Canis lupus familiaris: one gene and its partners. The protein of the gene in region 2 purifies or fractionates together with the protein of the main gene of each other region. This does not show direct contact. Links are inferred from orthologs where the notes say so. Each region holds a gene or a part of one and is shown on either strand. Other genes may lie near its edges.

What was found.
Region 1: the proteins of SQSTM1 (region 2) and BAG3 purify together in Homo sapiens (affinity purification with western blotting; 3 studies listed by BioGRID and IntAct, with this or other methods). This does not show direct contact. The link is inferred for Canis lupus familiaris from reciprocal best matches to the Homo sapiens genes SQSTM1 and BAG3.
Region 3: the proteins of SQSTM1 (region 2) and MTOR purify together in Homo sapiens (affinity purification with western blotting; 4 studies listed by BioGRID, with this or other methods). This does not show direct contact. The link is inferred for Canis lupus familiaris from reciprocal best matches to the Homo sapiens genes SQSTM1 and MTOR.
Region 4: the proteins of SQSTM1 (region 2) and NLRP3 purify together in Homo sapiens (affinity purification with western blotting; 3 studies listed by BioGRID). This does not show direct contact. The link is inferred for Canis lupus familiaris from reciprocal best matches to the Homo sapiens genes SQSTM1 and NLRP3.
Region 5: the proteins of SQSTM1 (region 2) and EPDR1 purify together in Homo sapiens (affinity purification with mass spectrometry; 3 studies listed by BioGRID and IntAct, with this or other methods). This does not show direct contact. The link is inferred for Canis lupus familiaris from reciprocal best matches to the Homo sapiens genes SQSTM1 and EPDR1.
Region 6: the proteins of SQSTM1 (region 2) and WDFY3 purify together in Homo sapiens (affinity purification with western blotting; 4 studies listed by BioGRID and IntAct, with this or other methods). This does not show direct contact. The link is inferred for Canis lupus familiaris from reciprocal best matches to the Homo sapiens genes SQSTM1 and WDFY3.
Region 7: the proteins of SQSTM1 (region 2) and HTT purify together in Homo sapiens (affinity purification with western blotting; 4 studies listed by BioGRID and IntAct, with this or other methods). This does not show direct contact. The link is inferred for Canis lupus familiaris from reciprocal best matches to the Homo sapiens genes SQSTM1 and HTT.

What each region holds. Positions count from the first base shown.
Region 1 is NC_049249.1:30,112,388-30,115,561, reverse strand, and holds the end of BAG3 (BAG family molecular chaperone regulator 3), read right to left. Parts: intron 2,736-3,174; exon of another isoform or gene 2,617-2,735; intron 1,881-2,616; coding exon 1,062-1,880; 3' UTR 501-1,061; downstream 1-500. UniProt on the Homo sapiens protein: Co-chaperone and adapter protein that connects different classes of molecular chaperones including heat shock proteins 70 (HSP70s), e.g. HSPA1A/HSP70 or HSPA8/HSC70, and small heat shock proteins (sHSPs), e.g. HSPB8.
Region 2 is NC_049232.1:2,125,545-2,129,044, forward strand, and holds part of SQSTM1 (sequestosome-1), read right to left. Parts: intron 1,607-3,500; coding exon 1,389-1,606; intron 1,158-1,388; coding exon 962-1,157; intron 232-961; coding exon 74-231; 3' UTR 1-73. UniProt on the Homo sapiens protein: Molecular adapter required for selective macroautophagy (aggrephagy) by acting as a bridge between polyubiquitinated proteins and autophagosomes.
Region 3 is NC_049223.1:84,300,174-84,303,673, reverse strand, and holds part of MTOR (serine/threonine-protein kinase mTOR), read right to left. Parts: intron 3,265-3,500; coding exon 3,130-3,264; intron 1-3,129. UniProt on the Homo sapiens protein: Serine/threonine protein kinase which is a central regulator of cellular metabolism, growth and survival in response to hormones, growth factors, nutrients, energy and stress signals.
Region 4 is NC_049229.1:335,775-339,825, reverse strand, and holds the start of NLRP3 (NACHT, LRR and PYD domains-containing protein 3), read right to left. Parts: upstream 2,801-4,051; 5' UTR 2,716-2,800; intron 1,190-2,715; 5' UTR 960-1,189; intron 808-959; 5' UTR 756-807; coding exon 479-755; intron 1-478. UniProt on the Homo sapiens protein: Sensor component of the NLRP3 inflammasome, which mediates inflammasome activation in response to defects in membrane integrity, leading to secretion of inflammatory cytokines IL1B and IL18 and pyroptosis.
Region 5 is NC_049239.1:12,223,248-12,226,000, forward strand, and holds the end of EPDR1 (mammalian ependymin-related protein 1), read right to left. Parts: intron 1,952-2,753; coding exon 1,752-1,951; 3' UTR 501-1,751; downstream 1-500. UniProt on the Homo sapiens protein: Binds anionic lipids and gangliosides at acidic pH.
Region 6 is NC_049253.1:31,496,260-31,499,759, reverse strand, and holds part of WDFY3 (WD repeat and FYVE domain-containing protein 3), read right to left. Parts: intron 2,827-3,500; coding exon 2,666-2,826; intron 1,554-2,665; coding exon 1,324-1,553; intron 209-1,323; coding exon 99-208; intron 1-98. UniProt on the Homo sapiens protein: Required for selective macroautophagy (aggrephagy). Acts as an adapter protein by linking specific proteins destined for degradation to the core autophagic machinery members, such as the ATG5-ATG12-ATG16L E3-like ligase, SQSTM1 and LC3.
Region 7 is NC_049224.1:61,609,889-61,613,388, forward strand, and holds part of HTT (huntingtin), read right to left. Parts: coding exon 3,463-3,500; intron 3,447-3,462; exon of another isoform or gene 2,819-3,446; intron 2,491-2,818; coding exon 2,277-2,490; 3' UTR 1-2,276.

The DNA of each region.
Region 1 (3,174 bases), on a different chromosome or scaffold from region 2:
CTGGGATGATAAACCCAGCCTGGTTTGATGACTCAGAGAAGCGTCAGATAAAGACTCTCACAGAACACATTCTCAACCCCAGTGACCTGGACTGTGCGCAGAACACTTTGGTCAGCCTTGGGCAACACGAGCAACTGGTTTTCCTGTGTGCGCATCTGACCCATCCCAGCCCTTGCGGAGGGCTGATGGCAGCCCAAGACCCCAGGTGAGCAGAGATGCTGCCAGAGTGGCCCCTGGGCTGGGCCAATCCTAACAGGTACCTTCCCATCACCTGGGTGCACAGCCCTGGGTCTTCCCAGGTAACAGCTGCAATCTGAGGATGAAATGTGACACTCATTCTCTCATGAGCTGGGCCAAGAGAGAGGTGCTAGATCCCAGAGCTGGCCTGTAAATGCGTCTGCCATTGACTGTCACTGAAGCCAAATGAGACATAATCTTGATGCTGCCCTTCCTCAAAACTTTAGAGATCACACACACACACACACACACACACAAAACCATTTTGAGTTATATTATTACTTTATTTTCTTTTTTCTCTTAACGTAACATTAAAGTCATCCAACATACAGATATTCCTAGGGCTCCTTGCACATTTTATTCTATCTAAAGTTAGCTATTTTAGCTATGAGATGAAGAAAATCATCCCATTCAAAGGGCAACATTTCTGAAAAATGGATTCCATATTTGTGCGATGGGAAATTAACACCACATCTACCAGCCAGAAACCTCCTTCGGGCCAGAGCTACACGAAGACAGCTTACAACCATGGCTAACATGTGGTGCCCGTGCACAGAAAGGGCCCCAACAACAAGCAATGGGGTTAGCTTCTGAAACAAGCAACTGCTTTATTTATACAGAATAAGAATACAGAAGAAAAGCATCATTTTCCTTTTAGCCCTTTAATTAGTGTGTTTGGCCTCCACCCAAGTTACTGTGTACCAAGCGCCTACGAAGAGTAAAAACAAACTGATTTAAAGTCCCTGAAATGCATGCAACTTAAAATTCCCTAAAGCACACCAGCAGTTCCCAGTGCCCGGGTCTGCTGTGTTGAGCGGAGAAGACTATGGTGCGGCTGGGTTTCCAGCTGTGTCCGTCGTGCTGCCGGGGTTTGCAGTTGCTGCTTCTTTGGCTTCTGGCTGCTGGGTTTCAGTTTTGGGATCTTCTTCATTTCCAGCACTTTTCTTATTCTTGTCTGTTGCCATGGAACCCATCTCCATGATCTCTTGCAGTGGCTGGTCGGTTTCAAGGGAGCGAGGCTGGAGTTCATAAACCTGGACTTGACCCGGGACGTCTATCGCTTTCTGTTCAAGTTTTTCCAGGATGGTCTGAACCTTCCTGACACCATCTCTCCTGGCCTGACGAACATCAGCTCGTCCTTCGGGGTCTACCGAATCCAGGGCCAGCAGCTCTTTGGTCAAATACTCTTCTATCATCAGGTACTTTTTGTCGGTCTTCTTGCCTTCAAAGTTGTCCACAGCCTGCTCCAGCCCTTGCACATTCTGCAGGATGGCTTCCACTTTCAACACACCTGGGTGTTTTGGGGGTGCCTCAGCTTCTCCTGGTTTGGGAGGTGCGGCTTCTGCAGGGGCAGGGCCAGGGGCTGCCCCCTCTTCAGCAGCCACGTTCTTGGGGGACGAGGGGACAGCAGGAGGGGTGAAGCTGGGAGGACAAGGAGCTGGAGCAGCAGCCGGAACCTTTACTTCCACCCTCTCAGATGGGGGTGGGGGCTTCTGGGAAACAGGCTGGGAATCTGCCTCCTTGCGGATCACCTGAATCGGGATGTGTCCAGGAAGGAGATCTGGTCCAACTGGGCCTGGCTTGCTTTCGGGTTTGTTTTCAGGTTGGGGAACAGGTGAAGATTCTCGATGAGTCATGGGCTGCTGAGGAGAAGCAAGGACACAAAGATATTTTTAATGACTGGCTGAGAGTCACAGGCAGTTGTTGGTAGCTAGTACTGAGGGTACAGAAAACTGGGGAATGGCTTTAACGGTGCAAAAGGGATTTTCAAAGTCAACCACGCACTGTTACAAAATTAAAACATTCTGATCATGTGTGTGACCAAACCATTTCCATTCATCACCTTGGACTGTGCGTCTGTCACCACTCACTGAACTTTTCTGTGGATAGTATTCTTAGGGCAACAAAAAGAAAATCGATATAGTTTTCAAAAATGAAAATACCAAACACCTCACTGACTGCTGAGCTAGTTTAGCTCAAAGCAGAGTCCTGCGTGACTCAGAATCTTGGTGATGCAGCCATGGAGGTATACCTGCCACATGTCCCCTTCCTCACACTGTGTGGACAGTCTCTCTTCAGGGTGTGGTGGTCCCTCTCCTGTTTCAGACAAGTTGTGATCTTTTTTTTTTTTTTTTTTTTTAAATCCATGACAGCCTAGTGGTTTCTGCCCAGACTGATGTATTTTTCTGAGAATAAGCAAGATGCCCAAAATAGTTAACTGTGAGAATTTCGCTGGGCACATCTGTGCCAGAGCCAACTCTTAGCTGTGCGTCTCCACACTGACTTCTGGCCATATAGGCAGACATGCTTTTTAATGTAACTGCAAGTGAAAATTTTTAGAATGAGCTATGTTTAAAACAAGTATCTTGCCTCTTCTAGCATTTCAGTGGATACCTCACCCCCTTTTTTATTACTGAAGTAGAGTTGACACACAATGCTGTTTCAGCAGCACAACACAGTGACTCGACGGTTCTATACATTACACAGTGCTCACCATGGTAAGTACAGTCGCCATCTGTTATCACAACATTATTGACTATACTCTCTCCACTGTACTTTTCATGCCCATGATTTTGTAACTGGAGTTTGTACCTCCCAATTCCCTTCACCTATTTTGCCCATCCCCCCACACATTTCCCTGCTGCCAACCTTCAGTTTGTTCTCTGTATTTATGAGTCTACTTGCTTTCTTGTTTGCTCTTTTGTTTTGTTTTTTTGATCCCACCTATGAGTGCAATCATATGGTATTTATCTTTCTTGGACTTATTTCATTTAACCTAATACCCTCTAAGTCTATCTATGTTGTTGTAAAATGGCAAGATTTCATTCTTTTTCATGGCTGAGTAATATTCCATTGTATATGTACACCGTATCTGCTTTATCCATTCATTTATCGATGGATACTTGGGCAGCTTCCATATCTTGGCTATTGTGAATA
Region 2 (3,500 bases):
AGGCCCGGCTGTTCTACACTATCTCATCACAACTAGGAGTCAAGAAGGGGGACAGAACAGAGAGTGAAAGCTGTCACAACGGCAGCGGATGCTTTGAATACTGGATGGTGTCCAGGGCCGCCCCAATATCGTAGTTCTTGGTCTGCAGGAGCCTGGTGAGCCAGCCACCTTCATCAGAGAAGCCCATGGACAGCATCTGGGAGAGCGACTCGATCAGCCGGGGGTCAGCCTCTGCCAGAGAGAGGACAGAGCCATGAGAAGCAGCTCGGGGTACAGCACGGCCAGCCAGTGAGCACGCCGCAGTGCCACAAGCCAGCCCTCCATAGGCTCGCTGACCCTCGTAGTACACACACACACACACACACACACACACACACACAGAGCCTGACAAGCTCTTCCCATAAAGGGCTGAGGGTGAATCCGCTAAGCTGCTCTGTGGGGTGTGCTCGCCTCTGCACCACAACAGAACAGCCAGGCAGCTTGTAAACAGGAGTGGGGCTGTGCTTCAGCATGACTTCTATTTTGGATGCTGAAATTTTCACCTCATACAATTTTTACATCCTGATCTTTTCCAAACATTATAAAAATGAAAAAAAAAATAATAATTGCTGGCCCGTAAGTGACAGCTTGCTGCCCCCTGCCCTGGTGCAGACAAGATGAACACCCAGAACCCAAAGGGTGGGTTTTCACCTGTGTTATTCTGACACACTGTCATCTTGTGACCGTGACAACCAGAGCATGGCATCCGCTGCTTCTCTTCAGCATGTGCCCTCGAAGCCACAGTCCCCATGTGGCCTCACCACCTCCTCCACGGGGTGGAGGACCCCAGCTATGACCCCTGCTCCTGGGCCACTGTGCTTCTAAGTCCCACTGCCAGCGAGATTCCAGTTCCATATGCTAGAAGGAGGGAACAGGATGGTCTGGAGAAAAAAAAAAACCGACACTGCCTGAAATCACTTGCCTGGTGGCAGATGCGGGTACAGAGCAGCCTCCTTCAGTCCTGTGGGCCCTTCCTGAGAAGAGCCGAGGGAGCCGGGCCCTTCGGATTCAGGCATCTGTAGAGACTGCAGTTCACCTGTGGACGGGTCCACTTCCTTTGAAGACAAATGAGTCCAGTCTTCGTCTCCTCCTGAGCAGTTATCAGACTCCATCTGTTCCTGGAACAGAACCACCCATGAGCACACAAGCACCAGCTCGCCTGCCCCCAGCCTCCGTTCCTGGGAGCAGCAAGCGTGAAGGCCACAGGAGGAAAGTTCTAGCAGTGGGGTCACAGAATGACATCAGCGCTACCAACGGCACTCCGACCAGGACATGCTTGGGTCAGCTATGCCCGGGGTCCAGAGAGAAACAGTACACAGCGACAGCCCCGGGCCCGGGCGGGTACTCGCCTCGGGCGGCCCCGACTCCAGGGCAACCTTGTCCATTTGCTCAGCTAGCGCCTGTGCGGTGCCCTCCGGGTCCCGATCCACATCGGGTTTGTTGGGGTCGGAAGAGCAGCTGCTGGGCTGAGAGCTTCCCCTGTCCTCCGTGCTGGAGCCACCTGGCGAGACGGGGGTGAGGCGGCTTCGCTTCCCTCCGTGTTCCACGTCAATGTCCACTTCGATGCCTGCAGACACCAAGGGGGAAGCTCAACCTGGAGCTGGCCCGAGGGCCTCCTGGCCAGGGCCACAGTGCATGCGCTTGGGGCTTGGGACGGCGGCGCCGCCACAGACCCGAGAGTCGCACAGCCAGTGTGGGACCTGGGCACGGGGCCACTGCTCTGGCCCCAAGGCAAACGGCTGGTCACCTCGGGCCTTCAGGATCCCCGGGGCTTACTGGCTCCCAATACCCGGGCCCCAAACCTGGCCCCTAGAAAATGTCCACAGACTCAGCCACCTCACCAGACCTTCCTCCACTTTCAGCCTAATGGAACCTTAATCTCTGCTAACATCCCGGTCAGCTCTGGAGCCAGGAACCCCAGCAAAAGCCCATTTTCCCCAGCGTAGACAGCAAGCGAGGAACAGGAAGCCAAACACCCCCCGTGGCCAGAGCCCCCAGCCACGTCACCAGGACCATACGAAGCCTAACACTTGGCTGGGGCGGGGGGGAGGGGTGGCTGGTGCCACAAAACACATGCACAGTGACCACAGGCATCCTGCTCTGCCCTGGCGGAGCCCACAAGGCCAGAAGTGCAGGCCCACACATGGCCTCACTTATCAAAGGACAACAGGCCCACAGCTAAGAGACCGTTCCAGAAGGCTTTAGCCAAGATTCCTGGCACCCACCACACAGCCCACCTGCTCCCCAGACAGCTTTCAATCCACACTGCTTTTCCTTTGACTCACGTTTACTGCTTCTTGTTCTAGATCTACACACACCTCCCCCTTCCCGTCCTTTCAAAAACTTAACTTTTAGTGAAAACAACACTCACTGTTTGTTTTACCGCCACTATATAGATCTGGTTCTCTACTTGCCCAGACAGTGCACTTCTTTCCTTGTGGGGCTTTTGTTTTTATAGCATCAACAATGCCTGCTCTTCTCATTTTGCTAACTCGCCCTGTATTGTGCAACAGCTTTCCACAACTGCCACATGGGCTAAGTACTAGACACCCTGCAGCTCACGTATCCCCGGAGACCACCTCCTCAGCACCACCTCCGGCTCCTGCCCTAGACTGGCAGGTCCTCCAGGGCAGAGGTACAGCAGCTACACGGTGACAGCCCTTCCTCTCTGCCTGGCACCAGCCACCCTGGCTCAGGTACTGGGTCCCGCTTTGCAGCGCCTTCTCCATTCTGGGTTTTTCTTCCTTTCGGTTGGGGGGGGGGGGGGACGGTTCAAGCCAAGGTAAGATGATGAAGACCCTGCACACCTGAGAGCAGCTTTGTTCTGGCCTCACAGGAGGCAGCTTCAGTTGAGCATAGCATCCTAGGTTGACAACCATTTCAACTCAGACTTCTGAAGTCACTGGTGGTGTTCCACAGTCTCCAGCACTGGCTCTTTGAGCTCTGCCACCTAGAGCTTTTCCAGAGCCTCCCGGTCTCTAGAGGGTTCTGGGACGGGACAATGAGCTCTGGTGAGGGATCTTTCTGGTCACTGTCCAAGGCACTGCGGAGTCCCCTCAATCCAGAGGTTCACGTCCTCTGGGCTGACATGGTCTTCTGTTCATTTCCTTCCTTCCTTCACTTCTATATGCTCTCTCTTCCTCAAACTCCTATACCTCCTACACTGGGCCTCCAGAACTAACTCTCAGACCTTCTCACCTTTTCACTCTCCTCACCTCTTGTTTTTAGAACATTTCCTTGAAATGACCTTAAAACCTAAGCCTTCTCTTGAAGTTTTATCTTATTTTTCTTCTTAATTCCCAGGAAACGTTATTAATCTGTTCTCTATAAATCTGTTATCATTTCTATGATATCCTGTTCTTCTATCAAGGATGGAAGTACTTATTTGGATCTCATGGAGGATGCGGACACTCTCATCCTTCCCCATGTTCCTTCTTGTCCATACGCTGCGATTTTTCCCC
Region 3 (3,500 bases), on a different chromosome or scaffold from region 2:
CACCTTTTTTGCCACATGCACTTTCTTCCAATCCTTTTCACGGTTTCCTTGACTGGATCTGCCGTTAAGTCCTGTGAAGTCATGCGCGATATCTGGCCAGTTTTCTCCAGCAGGAATTTCGTGTTTCAGGCTTGAAGGCATTTGGCTTTTTCTACAACAACGATGGCATTTTCAGCGGTGTAATCCTTCCACTTTCCATCAGGGTCCTCTTCCACAGTGTTGACAATCCTTTTCATACAGTACCATGTGTAATGAGCCTTAAAGGTCACGACCCAGACCTAGAGGCTGAGTTAGAGATGCTGGGTTTGGGGGCAGGTAGACCACTTCGAGGACTTTGGCGTTAAACTCATGAGCTTCAGGGCGGCCAGGGGCATTGTCCAATACCAACATTGTCCAGTATCAAAAGAACTTTAAAAGGCGATCCCTTATGGGCAAGGTGGTGCTTGGATTGAGACAAAGCGTTAAGGGAACAAATCCTGAAAGAGAATTTTTGTGGTGCTTGTAGCTTCCCTCAAAGCTCGAGGGTTAGCAGCTTTCTAGATCAGGGCCGTCCTGATCATCTGCTCCACTGTGTAGCACAGTGAGAGAATGAGCCTGCCCCTGCCTGCCTCAAATCCCGGTGCCTGTTTTGCCTCCTAATAAATGTCCTTTGTGGCATTTTCTTTTCCAGAGTGGAGCATTTTCGTCTGCATTAAAGCCCGTTCAGGCACATATCATTTCCCCTCAGTGATCTTCTTTATGGCACCTGGGTCAGCAGAAGCGGCTTCTCCTGTTATCTTGACTTTTTTTTAAGTCGAACCTCTTTCCAAACTTATCAAACCATCTTCTGCTGGCATTCAGTACTCTAGCTTTCAATACCTCGCCTTCCTTTTGCTCTAAGTTGTCATATAATGGTCTCGCTTTTTCTAGAATCGTATTAGGGGGTTCAAGTATGCCTTTCTTACAGCAATCCTGTACCCACATAAAAGCTGCCTGTTCAACATGAGATAAAACAGATTTCTCAAAAAGTACAAGATTTTTGTGCCTGTTGGCAAAGCTGAAGCAACAGCTTCACGGATTTCCCTTTTCTTTTTTTGCAAGGGTCCTTATGCTGGATTCATTTATCTTGAAATGGTGGGCAGCCACAGCTGCAGAGCTCAATCTGCAGTGCCTATCAAGCCATTCAATTTCTTCTTATAATGTCATGACTCTGCTCCTTGGGAGAACTTCACTAATGGCACTCGTTACGGGTTCCACAGTATTATTCAAGGTCTACGGTACTGCACTAAACACGATGAAAAATACATGAGAAGTGCGACAGAGCCCTTTTTACTGCAATGCGCAATTTACTGGAGGGGCCAACTGTGCACACAGATCAGCCGTGCACAGCGGTTTAACCAGATTCTCGCAACACGAGCTCACCGCGACGGAACAGAAGGTGGCTGCGGAATTACTACAGTGGGACAGCGTGCGCCACAATTAATCTTAGGCAGTTAGGATTTAATGTTGTACCTTCCTATTTGCTCACATTTCTCTCGACTGCAAACGGCGCCATGTATAGTCTGTAAATGCTGGTGTGCATAAGTTTGGGTAAATTTTTAATTTCAGTAATAGATTTGTATATATTTTGTGGTAGTAAATAATGTAACAGCCTACTATCTACTTGTATTTTATGCATTCATGACATATCGAACTTTTTAACATTTTCAGTATTTCTAGGCTACATGGGTCATCTGTGAGTTTTCAAATTGTCACGGACCTCCAAAAAATTTACCAATATATTTACTGAAAAAAAAAAAAAAAACCCACATGTACATGCACCCGTGCAGTTCAAACCTGTGTTCATCAAGGGTCAATTGTATTTAGAAACCTCACAGGAGCCTAGTAAGGTGGATGAGATCCCCGTCAAAAGCAAGGAAATATGATGCATAAAAAAATAAAATAATGTACCCAAGTCCACGGTATTGAGAGGGGTGGGGATTCAAAGCTAGACCCCCGTGTTCTACAGATAGAGCAGCAGGTGCTGCCCCGTATTTACAGCACTGCCGTTACCAAATGCCCCCCCCCCCCCCACTGGGTGTATTAAAGCAAGAAGCCCTGCGGCAAAATTTCACACCAACTCACTCCCATGCAGGAAGACACGATGGAGCTCTTCACCAAACATATCCATCCTGAAGCCAGTGGACTCACGCTGAATCTACTCTGCGTCCGCACTGCCAACACCAGTGGAGGCCACCACCATCACCCGCCCAGACTACTTCAGTAGCCTCCCAGGGCAGCCGGGAGAATGGGCCCCAACCACAAGGACTGCAGCTGACCAAGGGCCCCACTGTGACTCTGACGATGTCACCATGTTTGTGCCACAGCCACGCCTGCCGCGGTCGGCTCTAGCCAATGACAGCACGCATGAGGAATGCTGGGCGGGCCTCCCCCAGAGCCAACTGTGGCCTGAGGCCCCCACGGGGCGCTGCACGGTGGCCCAGCATGCTTCCAGCCCACTTTGCTTCACTGTCTTGCTCACTCAGAGCCAGCGCTGCCCTGCTCGCCAGGCCCTCCCTGATCCCTCCCCATGTTTTTTCCCTAACAAAAATGCTTACACTCTTAACCATACCCCCTTAACTAGTCTCCTGCTTCCTACCTGCCACGATGCAAGCTTTGCCCCACAAGCCGTCAATGATTATTAAAAATGGAGGCCCCCACAGCACTGCCCTGTGTACACACCTCCAATGTTTGCAAGGAGAATCAAAGCCAGTGTTCACCACGAACCCGAGAGGCCTCTGAATGTGTCCCCTCCCCTCTCCCCTGCTCTCCTGCACTGACCACATTCCCCTTCTTTCTGTTCCCTGAACTTATCAAACTCTCTCCCACCACAGAGCCTCACCCAGAACACAACCTCCCTGCCCACTGCAAGGCTCACCCCTCCACGTCATGCGGGTCTCAGCGCCAATGGCACCACCCAGACAGGAAGGCCACGCCCTCCCCCTGCTGCCCTCCATCTCATTACTTCATAGGACTTTCTGAAGTGACCCTGTTTACTTGCTTATTGCTTGTTTCCCTTACAAAACATCCTCTGTAAGGACAAGGATCTCGCCTGTCTTGTTCACAGAACGGCATGTGGACGCCAGACTCCCTTCTGGCATGGCTTCTCACCTCTCCCTCCATGCTGCTGATTCGGACCAACTCGTTGAGGATCAGCAAGGCTCCATGGATGCGATCATCCCGATTCATGCCCTTCTCCTTGGCCAATGTCTCATCAAACCCTTTCTCTGCTTCTTCAAACGTGTGCTATTAGAGATACAGAATGTGTTCATCAGCCAATGTCCAAAGGTAGACAGAACATAGGCCCACCCCCCTACACAGGGGGTTCTGCGGCTCACTGGCTTGTGCCAGCAAATCAATGACATGAATTTACCAAGCTCTCTTGTCCAGTTTACCTTCAACCCAAACGATACCATGACTGTCCTATTTAACAGATGAAAAACAGAGGCTCAAGGAAATTAAATGACTTGTCCAAGGTCACA
Region 4 (4,051 bases), on a different chromosome or scaffold from region 2:
TTCTTAGCAGCATTGTTCAAAATAATCAAAAGCTAACAGCAATCCAAATGTCCACTAATGGGTGAATAGATGAACAAAATTTGGCATACACATACCCTGGAATATTATCCCACCTTGAAAAAGAATGAAATAATGTTGTATGTGACCACATGGATGAGGCTTGAGGACATTATGCTTCATAAAGTAAGCTAGCCACAAACAGACAAATACTTTATGAAGCTGTTCATAAGCCGTACTAAGAGTAGCCAAATTCTTAAGGATAGAAGGTGGTAGTTCCAGGTGCTTAGGGGAGGGGGACAGGAATTGTTGTCTAATGGGTACAGAGTTTTGCAAGACAAAGAAAAGTTGTGGAGATTGATTGCGCAATGTGAATGTGTTTAATGCTGCTGAACCATAGCTTTGAAATGGCTAAGACGGTAATTGTATGTCACGTGTATCTTATCACGATTTTTTAAAATGCTGTCTATCTTCCACTCACCCCACTCCAGCTCATCCCTCTTAGCTTTCTCATAAAGGTCTCTTCTGTTGATTGCAGCAAAAATCCACACTGCCATGGCCCATGCCTTCTCCTCACCATTGAAGTCGATCATCAGAGTAGCCAGATCCATGTGGTCAGCTTTCTCTGTCTGACTCCGAGGGAGAGGGCTGAACCCTTTCTGAGAAGGGTAGTCTTGTAAGTGCATCTTGAATTTCTTAAAGTCTGCATCTTCCAGGTCCTCCAGGTAACGAGCCAGCTTGCAGCGGACGCTTGCCATGCTCCTCTGCAGCTTGGCTCAGGGCCCTTGGGCATAGGTCCACTCCAGGAAGCTGGATGATGAAAACAGCACATGGGTAAGCAGAATCTTCCTAAAAGTCTGCCCTCTTGAAAGAGAATGAACCCACGAAAAACCCAGAACATAAGGAGAAAAAATAGAGAATTGAACCATAATGAGGTTTTGAAAAATGACCCAAATACTCACCAGAACGTTTTCCTGTTGGCTCAACTCAGGAGTCTGTCCTGAGCCATGGAAGAACAGTGTCCCTCTGGAGAGAAACAGAGGTTAAACCCGCACAGGGAACCATGTCGATAATACTGTGAGCCCAACCTGCAGCCTTAAGCCACCACAGTGCACCACAGGGAGAACTTTGTTCTCACTAGTTACTGAGGAATGGCCTGGGGCAAAGTCTTCCTCAGCTTCTGTTTCTTCATCTATAAAATGACAGAATGGAAAATATGGCTTTTAAGTTCCTTCCATTGGAAAGGCTCTGGTTCCCTATTTCTGTTTTGACCCCGGAAATGAGTAAGTACGGTAGTAACAGAGCAGCACATGGCTGGACGGAGGAAGAAGACAGACGCGCCTGGACAGGGGAGGTCTCCAATTGCACATCCATCCATCTATTGATCGATAGCGATGAGTGGGTGACGCTCGAGGTGCGTAGGGGGAGGTGATGACCACATACATCTCCCTGAGGTGTCCTTCAACATTCACAATTGTGATCATCATTAGAGCCCACGGGGACTGAGAGCCTCTCGCAGCCTAGGTGCCGCACTCATGTGCTGTGCATCTAACTCTCCCGAAGCCCTAGGAGGTGCACATATGCTTAGGCCCATTTTACAGAAGAGGAACTGAATCTTAGCAGAAACTAAGTGACTTGCCCAGGGTTTCGCAGAAAAAAAAAAGGGTTCAAAGCCAGGATTTAGGTCAGGGGCACTGATTTCTGAGTTCATGTCCCTAAATACTAATTTTCATAGCAAGAAAAAGCATGTGATTCTTTCTTCCATCACTTAACGAGGTATCTCAGAAAAACATAGAAAAGAACAAAGACAATAAAATAGGTGGTTAAAAGGCAAAAAACAAAAACAAACCACTTTCCCAGCATTTTCCACGCACAGCCCACCATTTTTTAGAGCTCAGGGTCTCAGCTTTTCTACAGGGATGCAGAGTTCCACATAGAGCAAAGTTCAGCTGCTGTGTCCTTGCTCTTCTGCGTCTCCAAGATTTGGGCTGATAAGCATGTTGGCTTTGTTTGGGATCCATCCCGCCACATGACTGAGTTTGGGAAAGCACAACATCAACCCAAGGCCATGAATGAGGGTCGCTAACAGGAGGGAGAGGAAGGGTGGGACTGCAGGAGAGAGTGTGTGTGCACAATGCCTGAAGCATGCTTGCCTCCCCTGTGCCTTCATCTTGCCCTGCACTCCTGGCTCCACGCACCCACCAAATCCGTTCCTCATGCGTTTGGCGGTGGGCTGGGCATGTCCAGGTAGACCCACCTGTTTTGTGGACCATCCCAGGACCCCGGTCGGCCTTGCCATCCACATCAGGACTCTACGGCTCCTCTGTGCCCCCCAGCCTCTAAGCCCCATGCGTTCTACCCTGACCTTTGCCTTCTGTGTCCTGCGGTGTCTAGGACGTCCACATCCCCACCACATCCCCTCCATCCACTCCCTGGGGGGATGCTGGGCAAATCCGCCCCAAGGGTGGGTGTGAGCTGTGGTGGCTGTCCCTACCTGCCCCCCCCCCCACTCCCCAGTCCCTACGCACACACTTGCACACAAGCCTAGGACCCAGTAATGAAAAACAAAAAAGGGTTTTCCAGAATTGTGGAAGGGCAGGCTTGGAAGCTGGCCGGAGAATCCCTAGTGTGCTAAACAGGACACCCCCGGCTCTCCATGGCCCCTCCTCATTCTCCCCACACTCTTGCAGCCATGCAGCTCCACAGAGTTGGACTCACCCGGACACCAGCCTCAGAAACAGCCCAAGAGGAAACTTGATGAATTTATAGTGGTCACAGCCCAGCAGGGCAGGAAGGATGTGGCCTCAGCATGGAGTGAACAAGCTTGCATCACCAGGTTGGAGACTAACAGTTACTCATATTGTGGATTTTCCACACCAGTGAGCAGCGTGCTTATCTCGGCCATAGCCAGAGACGTCTGCCGTGCTCTCGGGGGCCCCTGAGGCGGGGTGTCCCCGTGGGCGTCCCAGCGGCCATGAGAGGGCTGTGAAGGTAGTGAGCACAGTGGGGCAGGGGACCCCCCGGGCCTGGCAAGTAGAGCATCAGGAGCATGCCTGGCCCTCCAGCCATCAGGCACAGTCTGCTGGCCGGCAAAGGCTCTGTGCACCACCTGTCAACGTCCTCAACTGCTTTTCTGAATTGAGGATACGCCTGTGAGAACCTCACCTCTGCCGAGGCCATGCTCATCACCTCCCAAAGTCTCCTCCCGCCCCTTTATTATTGTTGCTGTTTTAATGCTGTTCTGTGTGTATGGTGAGAACCCTTAATACAAGACCTGCCCTTTGGCAAGTATTCCAAGCACAGCAGAGAATGACCAGCTGTGGGCACAGCGCCATATGCCCATCTCCAGGACTTAGTCCTCTGGCGTCACAGCCTGCGTGCCCCCAACCGATACCTCCCACTGCCCCCTCCCAGCCCCGGGCCCCTGACCCTGCACTCTCTGTCTCTGTGACTCCGACGAACTTGGAGTCTACGTACAGTGATATTACACACTTCACGTCCTCCAGCTCCACCCACGTTGTTGCAAATGGCAGCATGTCCTTTTTCCCCGTGGCCGAATAATCCCCATGGCATGTGGTGTAGACATGTGTACCTACCGTCTTCACCCTTTCTTCCACTTGTGGACACTTAGCTTGTCTCCGTATCTGACCTTTTTGAATAATACCACAGCGGACATGGGAGTGTGGACATCTCTCCGAGATCCTAAGTTCAATTCCTTGGGGCAGACACAAACCCTGCTCCTAGACTCATGGACTCACTTAGTCTGTGAGCACTTACGGAGCGCCCAGTGGGTGCCAGGCAAGAATGCCAGCCTGGAGGGATGCCTTGCTTTGCCCCAGAGGAGCCAGAGGACCAAGCAGCACCCGGACCGTGTTTCCAGGCACGTGTGGCGGCTGCAGGACCACAGTGTGATGATGGCCCGTGTACATAGAGCAAGCGTGGTGAGGGAGAGGAGGTCAGCTCTTCGGGCCAGCATGGGGCCTAGAGCAGGAGGGATGAGAGTCCACGACCAGGGGGCAGCACTGGAAGCGGGTCCGTTTCTCTGTGCAGATAG
Region 5 (2,753 bases), on a different chromosome or scaffold from region 2:
CTATGAAAGTCCCCACCCATCGGTGCATTCCAGATGCCAGCCTTGCCTGGGCTCCCCTCTGCTCTGAGACTCCAAGAACGGGCATGGGCCCTAGAGGTAATGGGCTCAGTACTGGCCTGGGACTGGCCGCGCAGAGGTTGGCTTTGAGGAGAAAAGACCAGGGCAAGAGAGAAGCTATGAAGTTCTTGCAAAGGCCAGCCATGGGAAGAGCCCAGACCCAGATGGCGGCTGAGGGGACGGACAGGGGCCACTCTGACCAGACTCGGGACATTGATTGTCTATGAGGACTGATGGAGAAAAATGGACCAAGAACACCTCAGAGGCTTCCAGACCCAGGCAACTGGGCTTTGAACAGAAGAGCAAGCCTTCGAGAGAGGGATAATGAATATGGCTTAGATCACCCGAAGCACTTTATTCATCAGAGAGGAGTTTTAACGCCCGAATTACCAAGATAACTCACCTATGGGACAAAAGTGAAAGTATCAAAGAACACTTAGAAATGCAATTAAACTTGTTTATTGAAATAAACCAGGAGTAATACAGACTGTTTTCAGCGTCATAGCCAGATGAAACACAGTAGGAGAAGAACCCAAAATAATACATTTTATTCCCAAGAGGTCAGCAAACCCAACCCTTGAATAGATGAGGAATCCAGTGACCAGACAGGCTGGCATTCTCCACTCTACACATGCTTAGGGCACTGACCATGTGCCAGGCACTTACTTGGTGCTGGGCAGAGAAAAAGTACAGAAGTACAGAACGTGGTGACCCGTATCAAGGAGCTCACAGCCAGGCTGGTGGGCGATGCTGCCCAGGAAGCAGGCGAGAAGCTACAGGGCGCACCCAACCCGGCCAGCAGCAGCTCTCTGAAGGTCAAGCGTGAGCTGACCCGGGAAGGATGAGCAGAAGTGGCGCAAAGAGGCTGCGGAAACAGGGCCCCCGCGAGGAACCCCACGAGGGCAAGCAGAGTGCATGTAGTTACTGGGAGGAGTTCAAGTACAAAGGCATTGCAGGCCCGGATTCTGAAGACATCAGTCCCCTGACCCCCAGTTCAACGCTGTTTTTAGAACACTAGCTGTCTTTCGAGGTCTCCTGACAAATATAGGATGATTCAGCACATCCATCAATACTCTTGCGTAGACAAAAGGAAGCACACGTGGCCCACGCTTACCCAGATACACACGTGAGGATTTTCAAACCCTCTTGTGTAATTGCTTTGTGTCAGAGCCTTTCATCTCCTCCCCAGATTTTTATCAATCGGGTCATGCCACAAAGCTGGAAGGGGTTTTTAAGGAATCGCTTGGTCACGGGTCAAGGGAGCAGGAAGCAGGGCAGGGGAGCGGCCGCCACCCTGATGCAGGCAAGATAGAGGCCACTGTCTGCAGAGAACTCAAAAATTTATCATAAAACGGGAGCAAAATCGTCCTGCATTTTATTATCACTACGTGGCAGCAATGCAGCAATTCTCGGCAACTCAGGTAATGAAACCCTCCACCCTGCCCCCCCCAGCTCACGTGTGCCCCCGCTCCCAGATCCACCTGCCAGCGCAGACAGCGCATCCCCGGGTCTGCCGTCTCTTCCAGTCGCATTCCCACCGCTGTCCATCCCCTTCGTCAACATCGCTTGAGAAGCCAGGATCATATATACAAAGAACCCCGGATCACGGTTTATCTTCCTCCCATCACGATCCTTCTCTCGAGCCAAGGTGGTCACTTCTCGAAAGCCCGAACCCCGTGGGGGCGCCCACGGGCCTACTGCCAGGAGCAGTTCTCGCTCATCGGCTCCGGCTGGGCCGTCTGGCAGGTGCTGGGCGGGGTGAACACGGAGGGGTCTTTAATGCCCAGCTGGATGTCGAAGAACCGCGTGGACAGCAGCACACTGTAATTTCTGGTGAAGGTTTCCTGGACGGGGTAACAATCCTTGACTGTGTAAATGCCAATCCAGGTTTCGTCTGCAAGAGGAAGGGAAGTTGACTTTTTAACATAGAAGGTGGGCAAAATACCTGTATTTTTATCCTGGGGGTAAAATATACATAAAATTCACCCTTTTCACTATTTTAAAGTATGTTTCAGGGGCACCTGGGTGGCTCGGTGGTCGAGCGTCTGCCTTCGGACCAGGGCACGATTCCGGAGTGCCGGGATCGAGGCCCGCATCGGGCTCCCTGCATGGAGCCTGCTTCTCCCTCTGCCTGCGTCTCTGCCTCTCTCTGTGTGTCTCTCATGAATAAATAAATAAAATCTTTAAAAATAAAAAATAAAGTAAGGTTCAGTAGCATTAAGTACGTTCACGTTGTTCTGAAACCATCGCCACGATCTGTCTCCAGAACTTGGTCATCTTCCTCAGTGGAAATTCCGTGCCCTCTGACACGAACTCCCCATTCCCCTGCCTGCCCCTCCCAAGCCCCCATCCACTTTCTGTCTCTATGAACGGGACTACGCTAGGGACCTCAGATAAGTGGAATTACAGAGTATTTGTCCTTTAGTGACTGGCTTATTTCACTCAGCATAACATCCTCAAGGTTCATCCAATATTATCCATGGCTGAATACTATTCCATTGTTTGTTTACACCACATTTTGGGTATTCATTTACCAGCCGATGAACGCTTGGGTTGTTTCTACCATCTAGCTGTTATTATTAGTGCTGTTATGAACATGGGTGCACAAATATCTTTTTGAATCCTTGCTCTAAATTCTCTTGGATATACACCTGTACGCAGAACTGCTAGGTCCCATATGATAATTCTATGCTAAC
Region 6 (3,500 bases), on a different chromosome or scaffold from region 2:
TCTCCATCTGCCTTTCTCTGCTCATACACTCATTCTCTCTTAAAAAAAAAATTGGAAATGGGGAGAATGGGGAATAAAAAAGGAAGAAAACAAACTACCTTCACTAATATCTTGGCTGTAACCACCATCTGGTTCAATGTCAGAGGGGATCATAATGTGCCATGTAGTCATGCGGGCTTCTGCTTCCAGTCCAAACCCATCCACATTGCTGAAAAATTCCAGTCAGTTTAAACTATACGAAGGAAATGATTATAGCTGAAAACCATAATGACTAAGTATAACTCTCCAGACACAAGTAAATGCTGGCTCTATCACAAAGTTCTATAATTGGCAGACAGATATTTGGCAGGTGCACAAAACAGAACTACTACTTTATCATGAAAATGCCATTTTAAAGGAATGATCTCACAAATCCACTTGACTAAATGTAATTAAACTAAACAACAGCATCAAGATGAGCATCTTAATATTTAAGGTGTTTTTTGATCATGATTAATATTTTTACCTAAAAATTACAAAGTTCCTAAGAACATTTTCCTCATATGCCTATGCACCACCTCCCCTCAGTCTCTCTCCCATCACCCTTTGCTCCAGGAGCAGTGACAAATTTGCAGTTTCCCGAAAGTGCCATATGCTTTCCTCCCCCAAGGCAATCACATAGATGGCTCTTTCTTCCTACATCACTTTCCCATCCTTTTTGGAGAGTTAACCTCCTTGTCAAACACATTCAAGTTGTAACTCAGCAGGTGTCTCTTTCCAGGTAGGAGCACCTGTTCCATGCACCCAAAGAGCCATGCTTCCAGCAGAGCACTTAGCGCACTTAGCACACTTTGCCTGGTCTGGCTTAGTTGTCTATTTTCCCTCCTAGACTGCATGTTCCAAGACCCTGCCATGAGGTCTTTCTGGCTCACATTTTATCCCAGTCCCTAATTCAATGTCCAGACATTAAATAAGTATCTGTCAAAGAATCAAGGAAAAATACTAATTACGCCCATTTAACATATACCACTGCATTTATTCATTATTCTTTCCTTTTTATCCCTCTTAACCTCCAACATTGTATACTTTGTTTATTTTAAAAGTAAACTTTTTAAAAAAAATTACATACATGACTTAAGGTGATTAATGACCAATTTAAAGACATGGAAAATTACAGAAAAAATACTCATTCTTTTATTGCAAAAATGTTACCCTTGTGTTTATATTTTCCATGAAGTTTTAAAACTGAGATTAAAAGGAAAAAAATGTTACTATCAAAAAAGTAGGACAGAGTTTTGGTGGAATGACAAATTCACGGTGGCAAACTGAATGTGAAAAAGTTACCTTCCAACATGTAGATTAATAAGGCAGTGAGCCAGACAGCTAATGAATTCTTGGTCATGGTTCCCAGGTCCCAGGATCAAGTTCCTGTTTACAGTCAGTACCCTGAGCGAATCTAGGAGAGCTACTTGCTGTGGAACGGTTTTGTGTGCCCGTGAGAATTGGTACAAGATGGTCCTATTGAGGCAGTGATAAACTGCATCAAGTGACAATCCCTGTGATCTTCTTTTTGACTAAAGGTAAGAAAGATACTTTATTTAGTAAAATAGAAACAAATGGTCTGCTTATCATTCACATATAAATATTAGCTTTATTACATACCAGGTGCCATGCTCAATACAAGGTGCTAAGTTAAAAACCAAAAAGCTCTTGCTATTATGAGGTTCAGAACCCAAGAGACACATAAGTATAATTTAATGAGATGAAAACCACATGCCCCATTGAGGAGAGCTGCTAAAACTCCTGTAGGCAGAGCAGCCTGCCTGAGTACATATGGAAGTGTAATCTAAGGAGAATCTCCTGCAACAAAAGTTTTGTTAGGGTGAATGATCTCTATTCACAATTACTGAGAAAAACAAACAAACAACCAAATCTAAAATGTTAGTAAAAAAACCTTTGACATTCTAGATTGATTTCCTCACTTGTAAACTTTTCTTTGGCTTAAACACAAATTTATCTCTTAAAAAATTCTTAGATGACACGAAAGAACCTATGCACCATATGCTAATAACACGTGGTAACAGTATTTTCTAGTTTCTACGCTATGTGTTGAATAAGATTAATCACTTGTGGCAAACCAGGCCAACATTCCTAGTCAAAAGTACCACACACACACACACACACACACACCCACTCGCTCACTAAAATGACACCTTCAAAGAACTACAATGAACTCTGTGAAGATTTAATTATAAGAAGAAAATATTCCTTTCATATCAACTCTTTGTGCTCTGTAAACCTTTACATACAAATGTAGCATACTGTAAAAACAAACAAAAAAACCAAGTCATCAAATTGTATTAACTTAAAACCATATTTAAACCATAAGAAAGTTACCCAGGTATTTGGGTAGCAAAGAGCAATACCAGTGGGGAAGCCAGTGAGAGCCCAGAGCTTAAGAGAACTAGGCAACTTTACAGGGACACGCTGGTACCACCCTATGGGTAAGGAGGGGAAGGGTTAGAAGTCTATGGTTTTTACTCACTTTCAACAAGCTGAGCTTTGTTTGTATTAAATGTTAACATTATCTTATTAGTTACATTTATTTCCAATAATTTTGACACATTAGGAAAAGTTTTTCAATAAGAAAATATGTACTCTAAAACTAATAGTGACAATAGATTACCTGTGCAATTAGTTGAATTATAAAATCTATAAGAAGTTTAGATTCTTTGTTGAACATGCCTTGCCAAAGTTTGTCCACCACACGTTGTGTGAAATAAAACACATTGTTCACCAATACCTGGTAGCTTCCTCCACTGGTAATAGGCAGGGATGCATCTTCCCCTAAATTTGAGCAGGAAAAAAAAGAATCTAAGAAACTGTTATCAACCAGCAGAAGACCAGAACCTCCAATAAATGAAACTAAGGCAAAATGAGTTCATCTACTACATTAAAAAATAAGACTACTAGCTCTTATGTACTACTTTAAGAAAATGATGTTCATGGCCAGAAATGACGACAAAAGTTGGAAGAAACCATTTCTGCAGGATAAAATAGTTATAGACTGAGAGTATGAAGTCTCCTACTGCCTCGAGAATGTCTGTGATAAGCAAATAGTTCCTCAACTTAAACTAGCAATGACAGAGGATCTCTGAGAAAAAAAAAAAAAAAGCTGTCAGGTTATTTGCTGTGAATAGATTCTGTATAACTAATAAAGGGTAAAACAAGTCATCAAGCAAAACTCTAGTTCTGAATGTACCTTTGAGCACAATGAAGTAATATATGCAGGAGAAGTTCAGAACAACTGTGAAAAATAAACTACAATCAGTGCCGGTGGGGCCAAAGGGGCACTTCTTCCTCCCTCCACGATTACCTTCAGTACTGTTTCTCTTCAAAAAGCTACTCCAGTGCCTTCAGCGTGTTTGCTGTGTCCATACCACTTTAACACTAATCTTCCTAACAAAATGCCCTCTGTAAGCTCCCCCTTCCTATATTCTGGAGCCCCACTGATTGTGATT
Region 7 (3,500 bases), on a different chromosome or scaffold from region 2:
AAACAAGGGAAGACAATGACGCTTCCAGGTGAGCCCAGTGATATGGATCCTAAGGGGGATGGTTCCAAACCTTACATTCACAGTGTTACTTCCTACAAATGTAAACCCCTCACCAGGAACAGCATGCAGCCTGGCCTGTGATGTTCTTGTCTTGGAGCCGCTGAGGTGATGGGGTGAGAGACAGGCGGTTTCTAGGAGGTGGCAGGGAGAGATGGGAGCCCAGCAGAGGTGGGGGACATGGGAGATTTCCTTCTTAAGATTCCCTTCCATCCAGCTCAAAAGCGGGACTCATTTCTATTGCTCATGCCCTTGCTTGGTGGGGCCTCTGTGGGGGCTGGTGGGAAAACCCTGCACCCTAGAAATTCCCAAACTGCTGTATCAGGAGAGGGTAGGAAGAGGATGGCAGTTCTGGGGCAGGGGGTCAGCAGGCAGTTTGGTGTGTGCCCCACAGCTGGCTGTGTATTGTGGTGGGATATCAGGCCCATACCCAGCCAGATGTAAGGGTAATTAACCATGTACCAAGGCTCCTCCTCCTCCGCTTCCTCCTCTGGCTCTGGAAAAGGGCTTCAAAATGATCTCCACTCACCACATGAAATACCCAAACCACTGCCTGCATTTGAACTCAGGACCAAACTGACCCACATGGCAGTCATCATGCAACCGGCCTGCCTCTGGGGCCAGACAGCAGAGTACCCACCAGCCTCACAGGCAGACAGCAAGCATGGCCCCACTCGTAGGCACACCATGAGCTCTGCCCAGCAGAGGTCAACCCAAATGTCCATGCCTCATCTGCACTGGATGATTTGGCTACTTTGGGGCTGGAAACAGAAAGTTGGTCCAGCGGCCTGGGCCTGGGGTAAAAGCAGCAGCTCTGAGGGGACGTGGGCCGGCCAGTCACTGCCCAGCCCTTCTCCTTACTACCCCTTCTGAGCCCCATCACGTATCCAGTGGGTACAGATCTGCATCCTCCTGAAAGGAGGCCCACTTTACATTTTGAGCTGCAAAGGGGGCCAAGTGGGTGCTGGGGTCCTTCTCTAACAGTTGCCAAATGCCGAGCTTTGCTCTTGACCAAGAGTGGTACAAATATAATTCCACTACACGCCTGGGCCCTAATACACAGGAGAGGCCACATGGAGAGCAGGTTTCACAGCGGTCAGTTAGCTCCCAGCCCGACCCCGCTTGGGACGGGACCGGACAACATCCAGGCTGGCGTCATTGGACACGACAGACTGCCTGTAACCAGGAGAGCTGGCCTTGTTGGCTAGGTGCCAGCACAGCTGTCCTTCACTGGGGAATGGAGCCCACAGAGCCATCAGTGTGGAAGGGTGAGGGAGCAGCAGGCGGGCTGTGTATGGGACAGGGGGGCAGGCACCCTCCAGTCCTCAGAGTGGCTGTATGAGTTCCTGACGCAGACACCTTAACATGAAACATCTCTAAATTCTAAACATCTCTAAACAGAAGTGAACTCGTGAGAAAGGGTGGAGGGTACCACAGAACATCGCCAGCGTGTTAATAAGGAAGACAGGTAGGTGTGTAGGTGTGTGTGTGTGTGTGTGTGTGTGTGTGTGTGTGTGGGCGAAGGGGGCGGGCAGGGAAGCTGCAGGGCAGAGAGCAGGGGCTGCCAGGGAAGGACCGGCCTGGGGCAGCTTCCGCAGGCTCTGTCACATGCGGCACAGACTTGGTAATGCACATACTTTACACGGGCGTAGAAAGTTACCTTAAAATTAATCTCTTTACTGATATAATTAAACTTTAAATCCTGAGAAGAAATCAGAGAAAGGAAGTATGGCGCTGGGTGTCACGTTCCCAGCCCCCCCCCCCACCTGCACACACCGCAGCGGTCCCCTCCAGGACTGGGTGTGGTCCTGACCCCCAGGCCAGAGCCCCGGGGAATGCTCCTGAAAGCCCACTGGCGCCACCTTCTGCCGGCGGGACAGCAGAGAGGCTCTAGGACACAAGAGCAGCTGTAACCCGATGACCACGAGCAGGCTGGGTGCTAAGAGGAAAAGAACACCTGGTTAGCTGGCATTTTGGAGGAGCTGCAGCACAAAGGGTTAGTGACACAACTGCTCCTGCTCTCTGCGAGGACTCAGGCTCAACCCCACGGTACTGCACATGTTCCCTTGCACGCAGCCTCACTGCCAAAGAGCTCCTCTGCCACGTGGCAGAGCCGACACTGCCTGCCTGGCCTTGTTGCGACTCGAGGGGAGGCCTTTGCAGAGCCACGCCAGCGCAGGCAGGGCCCCCGGCTCTGTGCTGCTGCCCTGTGTGGGCGTTCAGCACATGGTGACTTTGTGGACATTCCGCAAACAAGTCAGCAATCGATGATACGGGTTTCCTGGTGCCGCGACCACCTCGAACACAGACTGGAAGGCCCGGCGGTCCAGCTCCTCCTCTATCTGGTGTCTGTAAAAGTCCGTGGCCACCAGGCAGAAGAGGTTAACGTCCACTTGTTCCAGCTTGCCCATCCTGCTGATAACGTGGGGAAGGCTGGCAAAGGAGTTAAGGGAGCAAGGCTCAAGTGAGGGAAGAGCAGTCTCCTAGGCATGCCTCCCAGTCCTCACCAGGCTGTCCTTCAACACAGGTCTACAGATGGGCCCTGGGGGCCCTGAGAGGCGGCTGGAGCAGACGCCAGGGACCTGGACTGTGTAGCAGCAGCAGCTGCCTCCCACTTTGGCTCCTGCCAGCCACACCAGGAACAGGCAAATGGACGCTGCCACTCTGGCTGGAAGCCCGGCTCTGCCCAGTGAGACAGAGGAAGCGGGCAAGGCAGCCTGGGGAGCCCCAGAGCGAGGGTGCTCCACTCCACAGTACTTACCTGACCTGGCTCCCTTCACAGCGCTGGCCGCTGAGGCTCCCACTAGCCCTGCTCCCGCAGAGTGAGGGCAGAGCCATGGCCACCCGGCCCAGGCAATGCTGAGCGAGGCCTGCCACCAGCACCAGGACAGCCGTCTGCTCAGAGGCTCTGGTCTGTCTTGGGGGAAGGCTGCCAAAGGAGAACATCCCCTTTTGGCAGCCAGCATTTTTGGGGTGGGAACTGGATCTTTACTTAAGCCTTGTACCCGAGAGGATGACACAGGCACAATGGACAAGGAATAATGAGAAACAGCACTGGCCACATATGCAGCTGCATGGAACCCGCGAGTGGGTGGGAGGAGGTCTACAGGGATGGGCTGCTGCCCTCAGCATCCCTCCCACCCCGCCTCTCCAGGCGGTCCCAGTCAGTGTGGTAAACACTCCCTTTTCTTTTTCTTTTTTTTTTTTAACGCTCCCTTTTCTATCCCCTTACCAACATTGCACTCTGTCAAGGTTTAAGGTAAATGTCATTTTGACAGCTGGGTTTCTTTAAAGGTTAGGCTTCAAAACGTTAACAGACACTATCAACCCAGATGCTGAGAGCAGGGCCTGTAGGACTGCTTGAGAAGGAGCTACCGCCTCTGGCCCAGACCCAGGGAAGGATACACTGCCGAGACCCACGGGCTGGTGGAAGCACTGACAAA